Saccharomyces cerevisiae S288C: one gene and its partner. The gene in region 1 interacts genetically with each later gene. Each region holds a gene or a part of one and is shown on either strand. Other genes may lie near its edges.

Region 1 (10,313 bases):
CAGAAGTAAAAATATTTATGTCACAAAAATCAGGGTCTCTTGCTATGATTTGCTACTTGTTTTGCCCTGATCTGCAATCTTATTTTTAAAAGTGACGCATATTCTATACGACCCCGAGGCGACGCGCCAAAAAATGAAAAAAAGGAACGACACATTTTTATAGAAAGACAAAATGCTGCAAAGCCGCACATTTCCAAGTTCAGTATTACTTATGGACACACCCTATTAGCTTTATTACCGCCCACCCCTTTTCCAGAACAGTGATACAAAAGGGAAGTTTCTGTTTTGGGTTTATTGTATTCAGAAAATGCTCCACAAACACTGTTATTGATCAAAAATGAGTTGTCATATTAATATACATTTACATATGAGGAATTGTATTTATATCAATAGAATAACATATTTTATTTCATTCTCTTTACTTTTTTATTGTCTATGGAATTTCGTTCGTAAAAGCTTCTCTCTATTTTGGAATAGCAGTGTAGATACCGTCCTTAGATAGAGCACTGGAAATAGCTGGTCTCAATCTAGTGGAGTACCATGGGACACCAGTGATGACTCTGGTGACTTGTTCAGCTGGAATACCAGTCAACATGGTGGTGAAGTCACCATAGTTGAAAACAGCTTCAGCAATCTCAACTGGGTAGGTCTCAGTTGGATGAGCTGCTTGAAACAAGTAGTATTGAGCCAAATGAGCTCTGATATCGGAGACGTAAACACCCAATTCGACCAAGTTGACTCTTTCGTCAGATGGAGATAGAGTGGTAGTGGCTGGAGCAGCGGCAACACCGGCAGCGATGGCGGCAACACCGGCAGCGATTGAAGTTAATTTGACCATTGTATTTGTTTTGTTTGTTAGTGCTGATATAAGCTTAACAGGAAGGGAAGGAATAAAGACATATTCTCAAAGGCATATAGTTGAAGTATCTCTATTTATACCTATTCCTTCATTGGTCATCACCACTTAAACGATTCGTTAACATATCCTCATTTAGTACCTCACGCATTACATATCTCATCTTTCACACAATTTCATGATCACTATGAAGATGTTCTTGTTTTTAAACGAGGCATGCATCTTTATAGATTCTGTATGCGAAGGTATTGTTTTCTGGGGCCTTTGTCTATTCGTATGCGCCGAATGTGAGAATGCCAGTTATAGGGGTGCCGAGGTGCCTTATAAAACCCTTTTCCGTTCCTGTGATACTTCCATTTTTGGTGTAGCAGAATGTCTGAATTTAGTTGCTATAGATCCTCGTTCAGAAGCGTATTGCTAAGCCTATCTCCAGTATACCCTAAACGATCGCCGAGAAAAAATAATACTGTACCCTCTATTTCCCGGAATTGTACAGAATAGTAGATATGTGCTGGGAGTCGTATATTGTTAGAGTCTGTAATTTTTACGCGCGCCTAGTGGATTCGCTGATACGATTACGTTATTCTAAACCGTCGCAAAGCAAATTGTGTTGAAGTAATTCAAGACTTTAAATCACTTGCACCAAAATCATTGTTGCGAAAACTTATCCTCATTATTAGTTTCTTGACCGTAACAGTAGTTGAAAAAAATGAAATCATTTCTATGATCGATACACTTTCATTATTTAACTTCTCTATTATGGTGTAACTTCTTACTTTTGTCAGAAAAAAAGATTTCAAGACACAACAAGAATGGGGTCAAAGGTCTGCTTGTACTATCAGGAAGATTTGATACCAACCGCGTTATAAGGGTTACTAGAAAGTAATAGCTGCTAAAAAATTTAAACCGAAGAGATTAATCAGAAAGCTGAAAAACTGCAGTGTTAGTAGAGTTGTAAGCATTTCTTGATTGGAACAGCCTTCCCCCACACGTCCACCCTTGTTCAGACAGATTCGTAATGATTTTGTGTGTAGGCAATGGAAAACTTTAAAAACGGTTTGATTTCCTACAAGATAAAACATATGAATAAAATAACTTGTGTCAAATGCCCCATTTCCATACTGTAACCCAAATCAACGAAATAAAAAATAAAACCTCATATGATTTACTTTATTTAGTCATAAAAAAACAAAAAAAAAAAAAAGGAAACAAGACAATCCTTTATAGTTTGTTTCCATCATGAAACCTATGACCAGCATATATACAATCGTCCCCCAGTTCCTCTTCGATACGCAAAAGTTCATTATACTTGGCCAGTCTTTCTGATCTCGACAAAGCGCCCGATTTAATTTGACCACATCTTAAACCAACGACCAAATCAGCGATAAACGGATCTTCGGTTTCACCTGATCTATGTGATATCATTACACCCCATCCAGCATCGAAAGCCTGATTGGCGGCTTCAATAGACTCAGTCAGAGTACCGATCTGGTTGAGTTTCAGCAACAGAGTATTCGCACATTTCTCCTCTATAGCACGGGCGATCCTGGTCTTGTTGGTGCATGTCAGGTCATCTGCAATTATCTGAACATTGACAGTCTTTAGGAAGGCAGACCACGAGGACCAATCATCTTCGGCGTAGGGGTCTTCCAGGGAAATGATTGGGTATTTCTTTAGCAATGAATGATAATATTCTGCTAACTGAGCTGGACTGAGCCAGTGAGATGGGTCAGAGTTCGGTTCCTTGAAATTTAGGTCGTATTTCCCGTCCTTATAAAAAACAGAAGGAGCACTATCGATTCCTACTTTCACTCTACCCTCGTAACCGCATATGTTAATGGCTTTCACAATCATGTCCAAGGCGTCCTCGGCAGTGTCGATATCGGGGGCGACTCCACCCTCGTCACCAACATTTCCAGCGGAAGGTCCATATTGCTCCTTCGCCAATATCTTCAAATGATGGTAAACCTCCGAACCCATCCTCATGGCTTCTGCAAAGCTCTGAGCCCCGACTGGCGCGATCTTGAATTCTTGCATAGCTAAAGAGCCACCGGCGTGGGCTCCACCATTCAAAACATTGAAAAAAGGAACAGGAATAACAAAGGGGTCCTGTCTAGCATCCGCTAACTCGGCTATATACTTGTAGAGAGTAATTCCCTTTTGTGCGGCAGCAGCTCGAGCAACGCACAAGGAAACACCAAGGATAGCATTGGCGCCCAACCTTGACTTGTTAGAAGTTCCGTCTAACGATATCATGAGCTCGTCTATGCCCTTCTGATTGGTTACACATAAGTCGGACTTGATTAAAGCAGGCCCTATGATACTATTGACGTTACTGACTGCCTTGGTCACCCCTTTTCCCATCCATTCGGACTTGTTCCCGTCTCTAAGTTCAACAGCTTCGTGAATGCCGGTGGAGGCACCAGATGGGACGATCGCTCTGAAGAGACCATTCTCTGTTGTAATTTCAACCTCAACAGTCGGATTACCGCGAGAATCATACACCGTTCTAGCATGTACCTTCGTGATGGACATATTTTTATCGTTGAGATTCGATTTTTTCCTCACCTTGTTTTGGTATTTCTATTGCAAGACAAAGTGAAAGAAGAAGAAGTGGTGGTAAAAAATAACTATATATAATGAAAATTGTTACCTGGTGGGAATGCAAACTGTAAGTAATAACCTGCCAGATCCATGTTTCTATTATATACCTAAGAACCAGCCAAGTTAGGTAAACGAGGAGTCTTTCAATATCTCTTTTCTAGTGAGAATGTTATTTAGGTAAATGAACAAGTTACCACTATACTACTCACCCCCTACACTTTGTTTGTGACCTCTCCCCTTATCCAGTTCATCGAAACTTTTTTTTCAACTTGTGGATCTGTGACATTGTCTACAAGAGCCGATTTTGATGTCTGAACAAAAAACAACCTTACCTTTCCAGATGCAACTTTCCAGGAGAGCTGCGTGAGTTTCAAATATTTAACATGTCGGAGAAAGCTCCCAAGTACTTCCTTGTTCTTGTCATTTTTTCCTTATCTCCATCCTTTAAGGAAGCTATTTCCATTATGCGATTCTATAAATCCGAGCATGCGAGTATTTCTTTTCTTGGCGCGGAGTCGCTGATGACGCAATAGGCACATTCATGAACATCCAGGACTGGTAATCTTCTCGTCTTAAAAAAAATCCAACCACCAGTAAAGAAACTCTTGGGTAAAATGCAGTATCTGAAATATTGCATAGCTGCAAATGAAGATATTCAGTATCAGCATAGGTATTTTCATGAAGGATAGGTAAAAAGAAAGAAAAGAAAAATATCTTTTTGACTGTCATTCTTGCAATTATCACAATTAGGGGACTTTAAAACCGATACTTGATATATGAGCACAGTCAAGGGGCCGGTTCTTGAGATTTTAATGGAAAACAAGAAAGTTGCACATACAGGTCTGCTTTTCTTTGCTTGCTCCAGACAACGATACTTAGAACTAAAACATATTTCTAGAACACTTTTCTCCTTCATTCAAAAAGAAAACTGGCCTTGCAATGACTCCAAAAAGAGCGCTAATATCTCTTACTTCATACCACGGTCCCTTCTATAAAGATGGTGCGAAAACAGGCGTTTTTGTAGTTGAGATTTTGCGGTCGTTCGATACTTTCGAAAAGCATGGTTTCGAAGTGGACTTCGTTTCTGAGACTGGTGGATTTGGCTGGGATGAACATTACTTGCCAAAGAGCTTTATTGGTGGCGAAGATAAGATGAACTTTGAAACGAAAAATTCCGCCTTCAATAAGGCGTTAGCGAGGATCAAGACCGCAAATGAAGTCAACGCCAGCGACTATAAAATATTCTTTGCATCTGCTGGACATGGTGCTCTATTTGACTATCCCAAAGCTAAAAATCTGCAAGATATTGCATCCAAGATATATGCCAATGGGGGTGTGATCGCCGCCATCTGTCATGGACCGCTCCTTTTCGATGGATTAATAGATATCAAAACAACAAGACCATTAATCGAAGGCAAAGCTATAACAGGTTTCCCACTCGAGGGTGAAATCGCCCTGGGAGTTGACGACATCTTGAGGAGCAGAAAATTGACAACGGTTGAACGCGTTGCAAACAAGAATAGAGCCAAGTACTTGGCGCCAATTCATCCCTGGGATGACTACTCTATTACCGATGGAAAGCTAGTTACGGGTGTTAACGCAAATTCTTCCTATTCGACCACAATTAGAGCTATAAACGCATTATATAGCTGAAACAAAAGACAAGGGAATTGTTGAAGGGGAGGCTTCTAATGGCCTTCAGTTTCTGTGAAGAGAAGGCTAACAGCTCAATGGTTCGAAAGGTAAAGAAAACGGCAGATCGGTAGCACTCGATTTTGCTAGAATGGAAATCATATAGAGAACAATTGAATAGTAGGCCTTGGTTTTTAGTGTTGTACTCATCATGGTCATATGTGACATAGGTAATGTACATATATATAAAAAAAAAAAAAAAAAAAGCAATGCTGTGAGATCATTCGTTACTTACGAAATACGCAGATTGCAATTTGAAATAAGCTGTGTTTCCTTTTTTCTTTTTTTTTTTTGGCTTGTTATATACAACTTTTTTCTATTTCTGTTCTTTTAGGAGTAATTAATTGGTACATGGGAAATAAATATGAATTATATTAAATGAAGTAAAAGTAAAAGAAAACGGGGAAATTTATCGTTTCGTAGTAAATAGATGATGGACTTGGGCGACAAAATAAATCCTAACCTCTCGTTCTTAGGAATCAACTGCGTCAGCTTCAACCAATCACCCGACATTCTTGAGTCTCTACATCAAGCACTGCCAAATATGGCCTTGCTTGCTTATCCAAACAGTGGTGAAGTTTATGATACTGAAAAGAAGATATGGTTGCCAAATAGCGATAAGCTGAACAGTTGGGATACGGTTGTTAAACAGTACATTAGCAGCGGTGCCCGTATCATTGGTGGTTGTTGCAGAACAAGTCCAAAAGACATCCAAGAGATTTCTGCAGCCGTCAAGAAATACACGTAAATGCCTTTTTAAAGAAACTGGAAAATTCTTAACATTATACATATGCTAGGAAGCAGCATGTTACACTAAATACATTTTATAAACAGCACAAGAAGTATTGTTAATTAATTATCCTTGCCATGTTTTTTTAGAGTCACAAATGCTTTTCCGTACTTCGCCGACAAAAAACAGAGTAAACATCATATGTTTTATAATCTAAAGGAATCAACTAACAGTTCATCAGATGGGAATTTGGGAGAGTGCACAAGTAAGATGGGGTAAAAGAAGATAAATCTCCACCGGATCTAAACCTTTGCCAATAATCCTCACATGGTGGAGCTACAATCTCGCCTTCTCCGACCAGTCACGATTAATTAAATTGCCTAAAATTAACTTTTATATTCCCATACAGTCGATATTGCTAGCTCAAAAGGCGTTATATTCGAAAGTTGTATCCAAATATTCCATCTAATGTATTATTGGCAAAAGGATTCCGTGATCTGTGTTCCCAAGAACAATCATAACCTTGAAAAATTATTCGCCAATCATTACATGCGGCAAACTAAAAAGCCTTTTTTTGTTGGCTCCGTGGCTCTATTGTCGCAGCTGATAAAAGCAGGTGCCCTTGGATATTTTCGAGAAATATATGACAACTTATTGATGTTTTGCTGGATCAAGTTTACGTGAAGGCAAATTTTCATAAAAGTGTAAAGTATTAACTCTTGAAGGTGCAATAACTCAATGGGTTTTTTTACCTTACAACTCAGCACCATCTTATAATTACAAGGCTGTAATATGTGAGGCCTGGCCGAAATTTCATGTGAAACAATACATGGCTTTCCAAATCTACGCATTTTTAGAGCTTTTCGTGAATGTCGTTACGCTGCTCCCTGACTTAACAATCCCGTTAGGGTATCTACTTCAGAGCAGATTACAATATCAAGAATGTTGTTGGTAGGTATTTGTAAACTTGAATTAGAATCCAAAAAGCCTTTACTAGGAGCTATTTTTAATAGTGTTTATGTTTTTCTTCGAGTACTCTATGAGATGGAAAATTGTCGCCTACGAAAATTTAGTACCTTCTCTTTATCCCAGTGACAAGTTATGCATGCTTGTTATACGATGTTAAATCTTCACTTAAAATCCTCTGGAGATGTACCGATTCCGGTAGGTTTCACTCGAAATTTAGCATATTTCAGTTTGGTTTCCTAACACGACCAGTCGCAGGTGAGAGTCTTGGAATTATCCTTCAACACTGTGTGTTATTGTAGATCAGTAATTAAAGATCAGTGTAGTATTTTCAAATATTCTTTACTTCAGTAAGGACAGAATTTGTAGTGACATTTAATGAAGAATAACAAAGGGATATGGATGTCAGGCGACATTACTCGACGTAAATTACTCTCACGAAGGCAAAAATATAACCTAGCCATTGAGTCCTAACCTACTATTAGCGAGATCTTTCTCATTTCGGCTTTAGAGTGTTCATTTTAATACGATGGCCAAAATTAAAAAAATTCGGCCATCAGACCTTGTCGCTTTACTAAGAAGTTATACGGATGAAGATGAATTACTTGAATAAAGATCTTCACTCACTAAATGAAAACATCTGCAGCACGTGCTTGTTATGCTTAACTCCTTGTAAAAATAGTGTATTTCAAAAAATACGCAGTGACAGAGTAAAGATACCCTAACTTTTGTCCGTTGTCCTCCGGTTCCATCATTGCCAAACTAAAGTACTAAGACCATTATCGTGGGTAAGATCATACATTTAAATAAAATAAAAGATACGTAAGCACCTAGATTCCTGGGACAAGCAGCTCAAAATATTTGTTCCTCTTTCCTGTATGAACTGTCAATGCGTTGCTGCTTCGCTGCACGTATTAAGGATTTTGATGGAAGGTCCAACAAAGAAAAAGAAACGTGCGCTTTTAAAAAAAGAAGCTTTTCCTACCAAAAGTTCTTTGATCTGCTTATTCAACGTAGCATCTTATTCGCATACATTGGACTCATGTTTAAGGCATTCTAATCACACCAGTTTCCTTGCATATGAGCAAATATCTGTGCTTGCTGTTCTAACCATACGTACTACTACGTTGATTGGATTATAATGTCCTTTGGGTATTCTCCGATTACGTTGTCCCATTTTTCTTTTTTGCCTTGTTGCGAAGAGCGTTGTTCCGAAAACCGGGTGCACTTTTTGTTCACTTTATATATCCCACGAGGAGACTGCGCGAACATGATATGTTTGACCTGGCATAGTGCTATTGTTCATAAACAATAAGCCCCCTAAATACCTGCATGTACGAAGGTGTACGTACGGTCATTCGCATTTCCCTAGCATTACTTTCAGTACTGGACAGGTTATTTTTACCCCTCTAGTTTGCGACTACCACTAAATGGGCCATTTTTACGTGTCTACGACATATCGCAAGGGTTTTTTTCTTTTGTCTTATTCGAGTAATTATATAAGCGCGCGTAGTCATTTTTTTAGCGAGACCCTAGGGTCCTGTAGCAGTAATTTGAGGTTTTCATGGCTCGAACAACGACAAAATATTGAGGAATCTTGAGCCTTATTGGGGCGTAAATCACACAGGTGTTGAATGAGCTTGGAGCTTGTGCGGTTATGTATTAGATATGGGCAGTTTCCTTTAACGTTGGCGCCTCTTTCTTTCCTACCCGTGGGGTTGCTCTCGAAACTGATTAGGTCATGAGCATTTTTGCTGAGTCTTTTTAGGAAGCAGCATTTTTCTCAAACGAAAAAAAAAAAAACCAAAAAAAAAAATAAAGACAAAAAAACTATATAATGCTACTGGCCTTGAACTTGCTTGGTAGAAGCCTTCTTAATTGCACCCATTAGTTTAGCATCTACCACATCTTGATTCGATGCTCTTCATTTAGAAATACTTGTTTATATAAATATACTTCACACGGCATGAATTAATTGATAGGTAAGTAAGTTTCTTTTATCATAAGTCAAACAGTATCAGATATAAGAAGGGAAAAGGTAGATATAGAAACCTAATAAGACCCTTATTATTAAACATTCGTTAATCAAATTATGGGTAAAATTGCAGAGTTTCTCGGGAATCCAGGTGCTAGGCCTGACGTTCATCATAGAGCACCTACTGTTGACTGCAAACAGTACGAAGAATTCGGTGATTCTAACGATTACAAAAATGATGATGTGGTCAGAGTAGTCAGCCATAGCGATGAGAGTACTGATGACGAACTTTGTAATGTGAATTTAACAGAAACAGGGGCAATCTTCACGAGTAAAGGTTTTACCGGGTTAAGCAAAGGTTTCACAGATAAGACCCTGGATTTCCTGGTACGAGTGGCCGGTTCGCAGGCGGTTTTTTTTATTGTTTGGATCATCCTCATAATTTGGGTGGTTATTGGTATTGTTTATAACGCACCTTTCAATTGGCAAGTTGTTATGCAGGACGGACAGTCTATTCAAAGTTATGTTTGGGACACACTGTTGATGAGACAACAGTTGATGAGTACGCATGAACAAATTTTGATCTGCGGTAGATTGAAGTCGAGATTGGCTTCCTTCAAAAACTATCTAACAAGAAGCACCCCAGAGGAAGAAAAAGCAGACTGCACAGTTGAAGCTAATGAAGTCAGCTCTGTTGAAAATCATATAGACCCATCTGCCATTAACGGAGAACTGCCTGTGGAAAATTGGTACGACCGTTTATCTAACGTAGCAAGTAGGTATATGGGTTCAATTGCAGCAATGGTGATATTTTGGATAGGTATTTTCGTTTGGATTGGTTGCGGTGCTATCCCAAAAGATGCGGGCAACACTCCACCTTACACCGGAGAAACTACAGGTAGTAATCCAAGATTGAAAAAGTTCAGTGACGCTTGGCAGATGTATATTAACACTGCAGTTGCAGTTTCCCTTCTAATTTGCACTACTTTCTTACAAAATATAAGGGCTAGACATGATTATTTCACGGGGAGGTTTTTAGTTGATATCTTTGATATGGACGAGAAAATCGACTATCGTATAAGAAAGCATTTTAACGATTTTGAAACACCTCACCCAGTTGTTACTATTGAATCTAAAAAAAGGTCGACAGGGAGAAAGATGATTGATTGGTATGCTGATATTATTGGTACTGGTATTGGTGTCCTGATTGGTGTGGCAGTGTTCGCCACATGGATTGGTATTGGTTCGCCAATGAAGTGGGATGATAATTGGTGGTTGATTATCGGTACATACACAGGTTTAATTGGGTTTTTGGACGGTTTCGTTTTGAGAGAAGTGTACTTCCGAATCGTTCAACATGAAGAGAAAAATTATTCTGATGTGGCTAAAGAAGACCTTGAATTATTCCAAGAATTAGGTATTGAATGTCCCGAAGAATTTAGTGGTAAAGCTCCTGAAATTAACACTATTGGTTACAGAACATCCCAATA
Region 2 (12,164 bases), on another chromosome or scaffold:
CTCAGGAATGTCTGGTACTCAAGTCTTTCACCTTGATGGATTCCAATTAATTGTTCTAGAAGCCGACGGGATTATGATTAAACCGTTCATTGTACAAACGATAAATTTAGCGGTCGGACAAAGATATACAATTTTGGTCAAACTAAAGTCTGACACTAGTTTTATTCGTATGATTAATGGCTGTAACAAAATGATGGGTTATATAACAAAACAGTGGTGGTTTTACAAAGAAGGCGCTCATTTGGACCTACCAAAGAACCCCAATGACGTTTCCATCGAACACTTGCCTGGTTTCACTAAGGCCGAGCTTTATCGCGACATAGAACCAACGCAAGAAGAGAATAAAAAGTTACGCACAAAGGCTGATCCTGTTGCAGTTTTCGAATTCGATTATGCTTATTACAAAGATGAAAGCACGAAACAAAAGTATGGGACTGGGATGTATAAGGTGAACGAACGGACATTCAGCGAGTACGTAAAAGACCCGGTAAGGTTCGGATTCAACGAAACATATGATATTGTAATCAACTCACTGGACCACATGAGACACCCATGGCATATGCATGGCCATCACTTCCAGATAATATCTCTTGGCAATAAAGGTGATGGCCCATTTCACAAAGACGTACAAGAGGGCAAGGCATGGAGCCGCTATCAGAACGATTTACGTCACCTGGCCCGAACCGGAAAGGCACCGATGGTAAGGGATAGCATTAACATTGCAGGAAATTCTTACGCGGTTTTGAGAATTAACACCGAGATGCCCGGAAAATGGCTTTTACATTGTCATGTGGAGTGGCACATGATGAAGGGGCTTGGCATTGTCTTTGAGGTTCCGACAACAACCGAGGACAGTACCAAACAAGCAACTACAGCTGTATTATCGTACCCTACCAAGGAACCTGACCCTAACACTGTTGTCCATACAGCCGCACTTGAACAAAATAAGTCCAAGGTAATAGCCGTCTACATCCTAATCATGTGTGCGGTTGATGCTATCTTCTACTGGTTGCTCATGTAATCACATCCATTTCTCCCAACTCATTGCTTTTTTTCGCTTTTCCCACAGCCGTTTACAAGGCCGCAAAAAAGAAAACCCGCAAAGCTGACGGAAAAAGTATCGGCTAGCTTTCCATTGGCGACAATCGCCTCCGAGTGCGAAAACCTGTATTTCTCTGACTGCCGTAGGTCATATAGGATTGGGTCATAACGGTTTTTTGGAGACGAATCCTTCCCCTAATCGTGTTGGATAACATTACGGATCCGTGTTTTAGCTAAAGGAACAAAACAAAAATAAATAAAGGATAAGAAGAAGGATTCACTGATAATTAAGAGCTGTATTTTTCATTGGTTCGGCAGTTAGAAACAGAGATAGCATCAGTTCGAGTGTTCTTTGATATAGTAAACAGCGTATATAGAAAAGAATAAAGTGTATTGAAAGGCTCAAGAGAATTATAGAGAAAAAAACGAAGGATAAATCAAAAAAAGCGGTGTCTGATACAGTGCTCAATAGAAATACAGTTGCAAAATGGACCTCCCAACTGTTAATAGCACAACAAGCATTTCCGACAATGTGGATTTAAAGAACTACTATGAGGACTTGCTTTTCAAGAATAACAGCGGAAAATCGCTATCCGATTTACCCCGTAAACTGAATGATAACTCCAATAATTCAGGAAGTGATACGGTTGATCCGCTTGCTGGCCTGAATAATTTGAGAAACTCAATAAAAAGTGCGGGAAATGGTATGGAAAACAGGAGGACTTTTGACGATATTGATTTTATGGGTAGGTTTCCGTATTTGCCACCAGTGCCAAATCAACAACAGCAACCGTTTTCTCACCAGAACGGGTTCATTCAAGAACACCCTTCCAGTAATTTGACCTCTTTTCAAATGTCTTCGTCTAATTCAGAGCCGATGTCCGCACCGCCCATTTCATCCAATAACAATAATTTAAACTCTACTCAAATGGGTAATTATCAAGCTCAACAACGGTCGTTCCCGCAATTTAATGGAAATTCATTTCATTCAAATGGAAACGACCTAATGGGGAATCGGATGGATTCAGACTACATGCGTTTAATGAATAAAACAAACATAGGTTTTACTTCCAATAGCGGCAGCAATTTTGCTGCCCCATCACACAGTGCTGGCAACCCATCTAGTATGAACAACCAACAAGTACCATCATTTAATTGGCAACAGCCATCTCATCCAGAGTCTACCATTAGGAGATCCTCCTACATATCAGATACTCTAATCAACCATCAAATGCCTGACGCTCGGCAAAAGCAAACATCCCAAGTGCAGCAGCAACACGCTCAAGGTTTCAATCTTTTCAATAGCAGATTCAACTATGACAACTTGAACTCAACCCATTTGACCGCCAAAGGTGTGCCCGAGTTTGGAAATGGTGTACAACCTCCGTATCCTTATGATAACGAGCCTAATAATGCCAGTATCAGCAATAGTAATAACAACAACAACAGTCACAATATGGTTCCAATGCAACAGTTTCGCCGGAATACACAACCGGTAGCGAGCTTCAATCCATCCCTTCCTACTTTTCAACAACAACAGCAACAACCACAACAACCACAACAACCAAGAAACGTTAATGTACCTACTTCTTTCAATGGCGAACGTGTTGATGATGTTCAGCTTGTTCAACTTCAAAGAAGCAGTTCTGTCCCTTCTTCTACAAACTCACATAACCTTCAGAACGAGAACAGCAATGAAGGAAATGTATCTTTGGACAATGGTTTAGTTTTAATTCAGGGTAAACACTTGACTTCGTCCAAAACCTTACACGATTTATACAGCGACTGTGGCAGCGGCTATTTTGCTAGCTCTGCAGTTTTTGAATTCACAGATAATATTAAGAAAATGCTGAAGTTGCACGATTCTAATGAAAGTTACGACGCGAAGAACATGGGCTTAATCGATGAAGAAGGTAATACATACCAATCTTTATTAAATTTCTTGGACATTTTAAGAAGTTGCAACATGAATTACGTTAATGATCCAGAGTCGAATAATGGAATTGTTTCCAATAATGGAGGCAATAAAAATAGGAGGAAGGGCTCTTTCACAACAGAACTATCATGCAGGAATGCTAATAACTCCTTTTTACCTTATACACCATTGGTACTGGTTGCTTTGAAAAATGGGAAACTTGAACTACTATCTACTCCACAAGCTACCAATTTGTTGTTAAAGAGAGGTGACTTGGTTATTATTGATGGTGACCGTGGAAGGGATTTAGTATTGGTTGTTGAGCCCTCTGTCGATTTGAATTTAGCATTATTTATAAATTTTCTGAAAAAGAAAATTCACTTTGACTCTTTAATTACAAGTGAGTCACAGCACTATCGCAATGATGAGTTTATTCAAATGTTGATTGACTCAAAAAATGGGCAAAAGAAAAAATTAAATCCCAAATTGTATGATGTTGTTGAATTAACTGAGTTAATCATACCATCTAAACAAGTCTTACGTTTTGCCACCCCGTGGGAGGTAACAACGAATTTGCACAATAAATTTGAAGATGAATTAAAAGCCTTGCATATTGCTCAGAGTAAATTACAAGCGTTAAATGATAATTCAAAATCTCAAAATACAAATGACAGTTCTTCCAATAATTTTACGAATGCTGCAACTTATTCAAAGCCTAAATTGAATATCAAGATTTTAAACGCAGAATTCCAATTTGATAGAAAGAAATTAACGTTTTACTACGTTTGTGAGGAGAGAAATGATTTTAGAGACTTGATAAAAGAGCTGTTCAAATATTACAAGACAAGAATTTGGTTGTGTGCCATCCCGAATAATCTGTCTATTGATTCTAAGTATTATGATAAACAACAAAAAGAGCTGAAATTATATCAAAACATAGTAAAAAATTACAATGCTGAAGATTTAATGAATGTCAATGAGTTTTCGCAGAACAGGGGGAATAACAGAGTTAATTTTGCACCTCCGTTGAACGAAATTGAACTCGACAACTTTCAGATTGCTGTGTATGAAGAATTAGTTCACGAATTATTTCATTAAATGATCTGTTATTTCCTTGTTGTAACTATAAATTTTCTAAAAGAAAAGACAACCATTTGCCATTATTTTGTTAACATTTTTTCATTGTTTTTGTTTTTGTTTGTTTTTGTTTTTGTTTTTATTTTTGTCTACTTTTTTTATGTTATTTTGTTTTATCGTTTCTGTTCGTTGTTTACCTATTTTCCTGCCAATTCAATTTGGTACTATCTTTCTATTATCAATATTTTCTTTCCCTTATGTTTTTTTCTATATGAAAACTTCACAGGGAGAAATAGAAGAAAATGTTCATTATTCTGTTTAACTTTGATAAAAATTACTTATACGTCTCCCAATCATGGTTTCATGGTCACTGGTAAGGAAAAATTCGAAAAACTACGGGACTAAAAATTTTTTAAAGATTGTCCATATTCCTCGATCCACACTTTCAAGTTTGAGATTTATTGTTGGCAACTTTCTTACATTTTTGTTGTTTCAACTTCTATTTTATATTCTAACAGCCGCTTCCATTTATTTTTCATAGGCTTTATATAAAAAACAAAAAATAATGGAATCAACCAACCCTTATAAACTTATATGTAGTTTACATTTAATCAAGGTCTGTTATCGTGGCTATTGCTCTAATTCATTATTTGTCGACATGTATTGGTTGATAATTTTTGTTTTGGTTCACGCGTAAGAATTTTTTTTCTTGTAGTTGCCACGTGAAACCTGACAACTTATAGTCTTTAAGGGAAGAAAGAAAGCCATTCTTTGAAGTGATTTTACTGCTTTCAAGAGTGAGAAACTCCTACATCAACGCCTAAGGAAACTCGTCATATTCTACCAAGGATGATCTCTGTCATGGCGGATGAGAAACATAAGGAGTATTTTAAGCTATACTACTTTCAGTACATGATAATTGGTCTATGTACGATATTATTCCTCTATTCGGAGATATCCCTGGTACCTAGGGGCCAAAACATCGAATTTAGTCTTGATGACCCCAGTATATCAAAACGTTATGTACCTAACGAACTCGTGGGCCCACTAGAATGTTTGATTTTGAGTGTTGGACTGAGTAACATGGTCGTCTTCTGGACCTGCATGTTTGACAAGGACTTACTGAAGAAGAATAGAGTAAAGAGACTAAGAGAGAGGCCGGACGGAATCTCGAACGATTTTCACTTCATGCATACTAGCATTCTATGTCTGATGCTGATTATAAGCATAAATGCTGCCCTAACAGGCGCCTTAAAGTTGATTATAGGAAACTTGAGGCCTGACTTTGTTGATAGATGTATACCTGACCTCCAAAAGATGAGTGATTCAGATTCTTTGGTTTTTGGCTTGGACATTTGCAAGCAGACTAACAAATGGATTCTATACGAAGGCTTAAAAAGCACTCCAAGCGGACATTCAAGTTTCATAGTCAGTACCATGGGCTTTACATATCTTTGGCAAAGGGTTTTCACCACACGCAATACAAGAAGTTGCATTTGGTGCCCTTTATTAGCTCTAGTAGTAATGGTTTCAAGGGTTATCGATCACAGACATCATTGGTACGATGTTGTCTCTGGAGCTGTTCTAGCATTTTTAGTCATTTATTGTTGCTGGAAATGGACATTTACAAACTTGGCGAAAAGAGACATACTTCCTTCACCGGTTAGTGTTTAGTAACACTTACAGAGTCCTATCAGGAAAGAATAAAAGCCGATCAAGCTTCATTCTCAGGTAACAACTGGAGCACTGGCGAGCTTTGCTCTATTATATAAGATAAAATATGCACTAAAAGTTTGCATTTCTTTACATAACTAAAACTAAGACATTATGCATAGCTTACCTGATCAAAAAGTATGTAAACTTGTTAACATCTTCACATGTGATTCATCTGGTCGTACTTTCTTGCGGTGCAGTGTAATATTTCTACCCACGTGACTATAATTGAGCTTGAAAACTGTGGCGTTTTTCCACCGATGGGTCCACGCCAGATATTAACCGAAGCCAAAATACCGATGAAATTTCTGAGATAGCTCTTGTAAACGACGTCAAATCTTCATATGCAAGGAGATCTTGATTTCTTTTTGGTAGTCATCTGTCGTCTTGAGGCGTATAAGAAGGAGGTTATATCTGTCCTTTCTACAAAGTATTTTCGAGAATCTTGCTTCTGCCCCTTTTTTCTTTTTTTAAAAGGTTTAAAAAACATAACTGTCTTCAATATATCCAGTATTTACGACAATATACAAACATAATCATGTCCAAGAGCAAAACTTTCTTATTTACCTCTGAATCCGTCGGTGAAGGTCACCCAGACAAGATTTGTGACCAAGTTTCTGATGCTATTTTGGACGCTTGTTTAGAACAAGATCCATTCTCCAAGGTTGCCTGTGAAACAGCTGCCAAAACTGGTATGATTATGGTTTTCGGTGAAATTACCACCAAAGCTAGACTTGACTACCAACAAATAGTAAGAGATACCATCAAGAAGATTGGTTATGACGATTCTGCCAAGGGTTTCGACTACAAGACATGTAATGTTTTAGTAGCTATCGAACAACAATCTCCAGATATCGCTCAAGGTCTGCACTATGAAAAGAGCTTAGAAGACTTAGGTGCTGGTGACCAAGGTATAATGTTTGGTTACGCTACAGACGAAACTCCAGAAGGGTTACCATTGACCATTCTTTTGGCTCACAAATTGAACATGGCTATGGCAGATGCTAGAAGAGATGGTTCTCTCCCATGGTTGAGACCAGACACAAAGACTCAAGTCACTGTCGAATACGAAGACGACAATGGTAGATGGGTTCCAAAGAGGATAGATACCGTTGTTATTTCTGCTCAACATGCTGATGAAATTTCCACCGCTGACTTGAGAACTCAACTTCAAAAAGATATTGTTGAAAAGGTCATACCAAAGGATATGTTAGACGAAAATACCAAATATTTCATCCAACCATCCGGTAGATTCGTCATCGGTGGTCCTCAAGGTGACGCTGGTTTGACCGGTAGAAAGATTATTGTCGACGCTTACGGTGGTGCCTCATCCGTCGGTGGTGGTGCCTTCTCCGGTAAGGACTATTCCAAGGTCGATCGTTCCGCTGCTTACGCTGCTAGATGGGTTGCCAAGTCTCTAGTTGCCGCTGGTTTGTGTAAGAGAGTCCAAGTCCAATTTTCATATGCTATTGGTATTGCTGAACCATTGTCTTTACATGTGGACACCTATGGTACAGCTACAAAATCAGATGACGAAATCATTGAAATTATTAAGAAGAACTTCGACTTGAGACCAGGTGTGTTAGTAAAGGAATTAGATTTGGCTAGACCAATTTACTTACCAACCGCTTCTTATGGTCACTTCACTAATCAAGAGTACTCATGGGAAAAACCAAAGAAATTGGAATTTTAAACATTTAGACAATAAATGTTTTATTTTGATTTTTATAATTATTTCAATCCCTTTCTTTATGCTAGGCTGGTCCCGATCACCTCCCTATATTGAGAAGACGATGCCTTATCGTTTGATTCGCTCAACTCGAGTCATGTAATTACTAGAAAATGATACAATAGAAAAGTTTTAAACATTCTTAAACTTGACAAACACCAATAGAATAACATCTAGGCATAATGATCTATTTTGTATGGATTATGTATTAGCTCCTTCAACGGAAATATATAGAAAATATTACTTTATGTTTTTAGAACTTTTTGACGAGTTTTACCAGTTTTTTTCATGATGCTCCACGTGGTAATATGACTATGCTATGGAAATAAGGTTGAAATATAGAATGTCTTTGAGGTTATTTGGTCGGCCTCTTCCAGAAATACTGTTTATGTTTCTTCCTGCACGACCTTAATCGGCTCCTGCCTTTTAACGAATTATACAAAATCTTTCTCTCGTCGCTATCATCGTTTTCAACATCATAGTAATACTCGTCTTCTAATGGCTTGCCAGACGCATCTTTTCCTTCACGCACAATAATACCAATGCAAGAAATAGTCTCCAAGACCTTTTTTAGTTCATCTTTGCTTAATTGTGAAGTGTTGGAATTGATGTTTTGCAATTGGGATAAAGGCGTTTGTTGAAGGTTAGAAAATGCAAGATGATTACATAGCACATGAACTAGGTCATCAAACCGAATTCCTCTTTCTGAGAGCGACCGAGAAATTTCGGGAATAATATTCAATGAAGTCTTAAGACGTTTTTGTGCAGGAGATACAATCGCGGTTGTAGAAGACAGCTCTTTAGTTTTTTTTGCAACTGCTGCGAAAGATTCTTCTTCATTAATGCCACCACTCCTAGTACTGGCACTTAATGTCCCAATTATTTTATCTTTAGGAAGTGGTGTCTCTTGTATAGTGTTATTTTTCAATGAAATTGATTTACGCTTCAGTTTCTTTGGAGTTGATGGCTGATTAATAACGAAAGATGTTTGGGGTGTTGTTCTATAACTAATGGGGGAGTTTTTCACAAGAGCAGGAGATGCAATAAGTAATGGTTTTGAGATCTGTTCTGTACGAGGTGAATGCTCAACTGGGACAAATTTCATCGAAGGTGTTTCTTTTTGCCAAGAAAAATCATCGCTCGTTGTTGTTAATAAACACAACTCATCCTCCGTTTCTGTCGAGTTCTCTTCGTCAAAGTTATTGTTGCCATCGCCAGGATAAGGTGCTACTTTTTTCAATGAAAGACAGACTGTGACGCCTGTAAAATTTATGAAACTTCCTTGGATATAGGGGAAAGTAACAGTTTCACCTTTAGCCAAAACAAAGCTGATGAAGTTTTGGTTCTTTTGAAGAGTTTTTCCATGCGATTGTTTAGTATTTTGCGAGGTCAAAGGCTCTTCTGCCACTAGTTTATAAAAGTTCCTTGTTGGGAAGGGTTTTACCAAATGCAACTGCATGGAGTAAGGCAAGTGAACGGACAACCCATTAGTTCCATTACATTCCAATTTTATTTCATTTCTGTCGGCGGCGTATGAAATAAAAGCGTGCTGCCTAGAGATATTCTTTCTGCATGGCAAAATAATGTTGCAGACTGATTTTTTCCTACCGATGGCTAAACGTGAGGGATCCGATGCATCTAATTCAATCTCGATAGGGCCTGCAAGCACCTTTTCTTGCTTTGAAGGAGATGACAAGGCAGATTTGGTCTCATTTAAACGTGAAGTGATATCTTTCACTGGTGAAGATTGTCTTCCGATGCTAGACGACGGGTCTGGAGTAGGATACTCTTCCAATTCGTAATTATACCGTTTTCTTCCTAAGGTCAATACAGAAGTATTAGCAAGCTTACCAGGTTCTTTTTGTGGGCTTTCCAAAGGTTTACCAGCAACTGGTGATGATGGTGGGAAGAGATGGGACATAACCAAAATTGTGACGATTTTGTCGTGAAACTTCTAGCGAAAAGACTAATGAAATCGGCAAATATTGTGTAAATAGTATACCAAAAAAAAAAACGCTTCTATATATTGTTCCCCGTTGCTAGTAACGATAGAAACGGCAAATAAGGAGAGAAATTAAACTTTCTTGGGAGAGGCAGAAGTGTTTACTTATTCTTCTGAAACAAAAACAAACGCGAAAAAAAAATTATCGCGTTTGGATTATCATTATTTAGACATTAACACCTGTACATATTTGTATTTTAAAAGCCGAACATTTTTGGGTTCTATATCAGTTTTTTTTTTCTTCAAGCACTCCGTACACCACTAATATTATCACTGAGAATCTTCCTGCCACTTGCGGGAAGGATGAGATTGGAAACATGGCTGGAATAGTAAGCATAGGTTACTATAGAAAGCGGTAACAAAAAGCACTACTATGTGTAGATAAAGAACAAAGAGGTAAACGAATATATAAGTAAAGATGGGTAGTATGTACAGGAATTATTAATTGATGAGTCAACGTTCAATCACATCCGGTCTGATTTAGAGGATTACATGAGAAAGAAGCACTGAAAAAATTTTCCACCAGGAGAGGCCAGGTAAACTAAGACCTACGTTATTCACTATGCCAAAAGATTTAAAAATATAGAATGATGAATGTTGCCAGAGCCATTGATGATAAGAAATTGCACATAACGGATGCATAAAGAGCGAATAAAAAGATTTGAGTGTCAATACAAAAAGGTGAGAAGAAATAGTGTAAGACAGCAACACACATCTAGACCGCCAATGAAGTTGTTCTGAATCCAGCAGTAGAGTTTATTTAGTTCAAAGTTTTACTAACGATAATTAACTTTTATGTTTTCATTTTAAACAGAGGGTACTCCTTCATTCGGTAAGCGTCACAACAAATCTCACACCTTGTGTAACAGATGTGGTCGTCGTTCTTTCCATGTTCAAAAGAAGACCTGTTCCTCTTGTGGTTACCCATCCGCTAAGACTAGATCTCACAACTGGGCTGCCAAGGCAAAGAGAAGACACACTACTGGTACCGGTAGAATGAGATATTTGAAGCATGTCTCCAGAAGATTTAAGAACGGTTTCCAAACCGGTTCTGCTAAGGCTACTTCTGCTTAAATTTGATATTATCTATAAGTTTTGTTCTTTCCTAAAACGAAAATAATATAAATTATATATAGTTAATATTAAGCATTACAAGGTTTCTATAAAGCGTTGACATTTTCCCCTTTTGATTGTTGCCTTACAGTCCCATTGAGATATATAATGAATCGGCCTCCTCTAGTGTGGTTAGATCGAATGATTTTGACTCAAGAATAGTTCTTGCCATTTCTTGAAATTTCTCATCGTACTTTACTTGCATTATTCTCCCCGTTCTTTTATTCAATTGCATCTTCAATTCTTCTTCGATATATTCTGGTAAATCCTCAAAGGCATCTTCGTAATAAGAGGCTTGATCCTTTATCGTCAGATCATGCAAACTATCTACAAGGTGTCGATGATCTCTCATTTCTCTTTCGTTTGCTGTCACAGTTTCGGTTTGGCATACGAGAAACCTCCATAGTGACATAATCAATTGGCTTTCTACCTGCTTGATTTGTTCTTCACGCAATTGTTTGAAATGGTCTTTCCATAGCCTATATATTATGGTTAAAGTATGTTCAATAAGATGGCATCTGAGGTCCAAGTTCGGGGAGTCTTGTCCCACGTACCTTTCTATCATTAACGCTTGCTCCCTGGATAAGAATTTAGAGGAGTGGATGAGCATTTCTCCATTTACTATGGTCGCATCGTCTCCATAGATCATTAATAAATTTTCAAAAATATTTAAAACTTCATCTTTTAACTTCAAAAGCCATTTTTCCATCTTGTAACCTATTATAGGGGCAGTGAATTTGTCGCTATCCATCCCAATATCCTCTTTAGAAATTACCCTTGGGACACTTTGCAATCGGTCAGTATAAATCAGCTTTGATATCAATCCTCCCAATTCATTATCACCTATATTTCGGATTAACCCAAAAAAGTCATGGTACTTCGACATATGAAGAGTTGTAGTATCCACATTTTCATTATATACGTCGCCACTCTTAATTTCCTTTTCCAAAAGAGCGTATAATCTTGTAATACAATCTCTCCACCAACTACCGCTTATCAAGGATTTCAGATCTGAGGAATTGTCCATATTTAATATTATACTAGTGATAATATTAACGACCTCGACTGCACTAAATATTACATTTACCATTGGCTTGTATGAAATGGTTAGTGCTAGTTTGTAGACAAATTCAAATGATTTTAGAATATTTTCATCAAAAAATTCCATATAAGTTTGCTTAGGATGCGACTGCAGTACCCTTAATATACCTTCTAGGAGATCAAAGGAATACGAAATTATCAAATAGTCTATCAGTTCATATTGGAAAATCTGAGGTTCTACATGCAAATTCATATTTGATTCATGTATCGGTACTTTCAATACATGATGATAGATTCTTATTAAATCGCAAATAAAAAGAAAACAATCCTTCAGTGCTAAATTATGAGTGGCACTAGGACGAAATTGTACAATCTGATACATCAATGCAACGAGAAATGGGACAGCTAATTTCGATTCATTTGGATGAACTGATATTTCCTTGATCAAAACAGCTATATCCTCTAGCAAAGTATCTATGAACCTGTCGAGGGTCAACGTCTTTTTACATCGCAAAAGTAGAGAAACTATGGAC

The links.
Region 2: mutations in SNO4 (region 1) and SAM2 together harm fitness more than expected from each alone (negative genetic interaction), as found in Saccharomyces cerevisiae (one large-scale study listed by BioGRID).

The regions. Positions count from the first base shown.
Region 1 is NC_001145.3:913,166-923,478, reverse strand, and holds SNO4 (glutathione-independent methylglyoxalase family protein), read left to right. Parts: upstream 1-4,399; coding exon 4,400-5,113; downstream 5,114-10,313. Other genes in the region: seripauperin PAU19, read right to left, coding at 464-838; phosphopyruvate hydratase ERR3, read right to left, coding at 2,078-3,391; YMR321C (uncharacterized protein), read left to right, coding at 5,583-5,900; YMR320W (uncharacterized protein), read right to left, coding at 6,428-6,733; FET4 (Fet4p), read left to right, coding at 8,941-10,313. UniProt on the Saccharomyces cerevisiae protein: Catalyzes the conversion of methylglyoxal (MG) to D-lactate in a single glutathione (GSH)-independent step. May play a role in detoxifying endogenously produced glyoxals. Involved in protection against reactive oxygen species (ROS).
Region 2 is NC_001136.10:1,448,585-1,460,748, reverse strand, and holds SAM2 (methionine adenosyltransferase SAM2), read left to right. Parts: upstream 1-6,284; coding exon 6,285-7,439; downstream 7,440-12,164. Other genes in the region: GMC1 (putative oxidoreductase), read left to right, coding at 1-1,021; PSP1 (Psp1p), read left to right, coding at 1,529-4,054; SPG3 (Spg3p), read left to right, coding at 4,055-4,438; phosphatidate phosphatase LPP1, read left to right, coding at 4,883-5,707; PLM2 (Plm2p), read right to left, coding at 7,831-9,396; 60S ribosomal protein eL37 RPL37B, read left to right, coding at 9,896-9,902, 10,292-10,551; LCD1 (Lcd1p), read right to left, coding at 10,676-12,164. UniProt on the Saccharomyces cerevisiae protein: Catalyzes the formation of S-adenosylmethionine from methionine and ATP. The reaction comprises two steps that are both catalyzed by the same enzyme: formation of S-adenosylmethionine (AdoMet) and triphosphate, and subsequent hydrolysis of the triphosphate.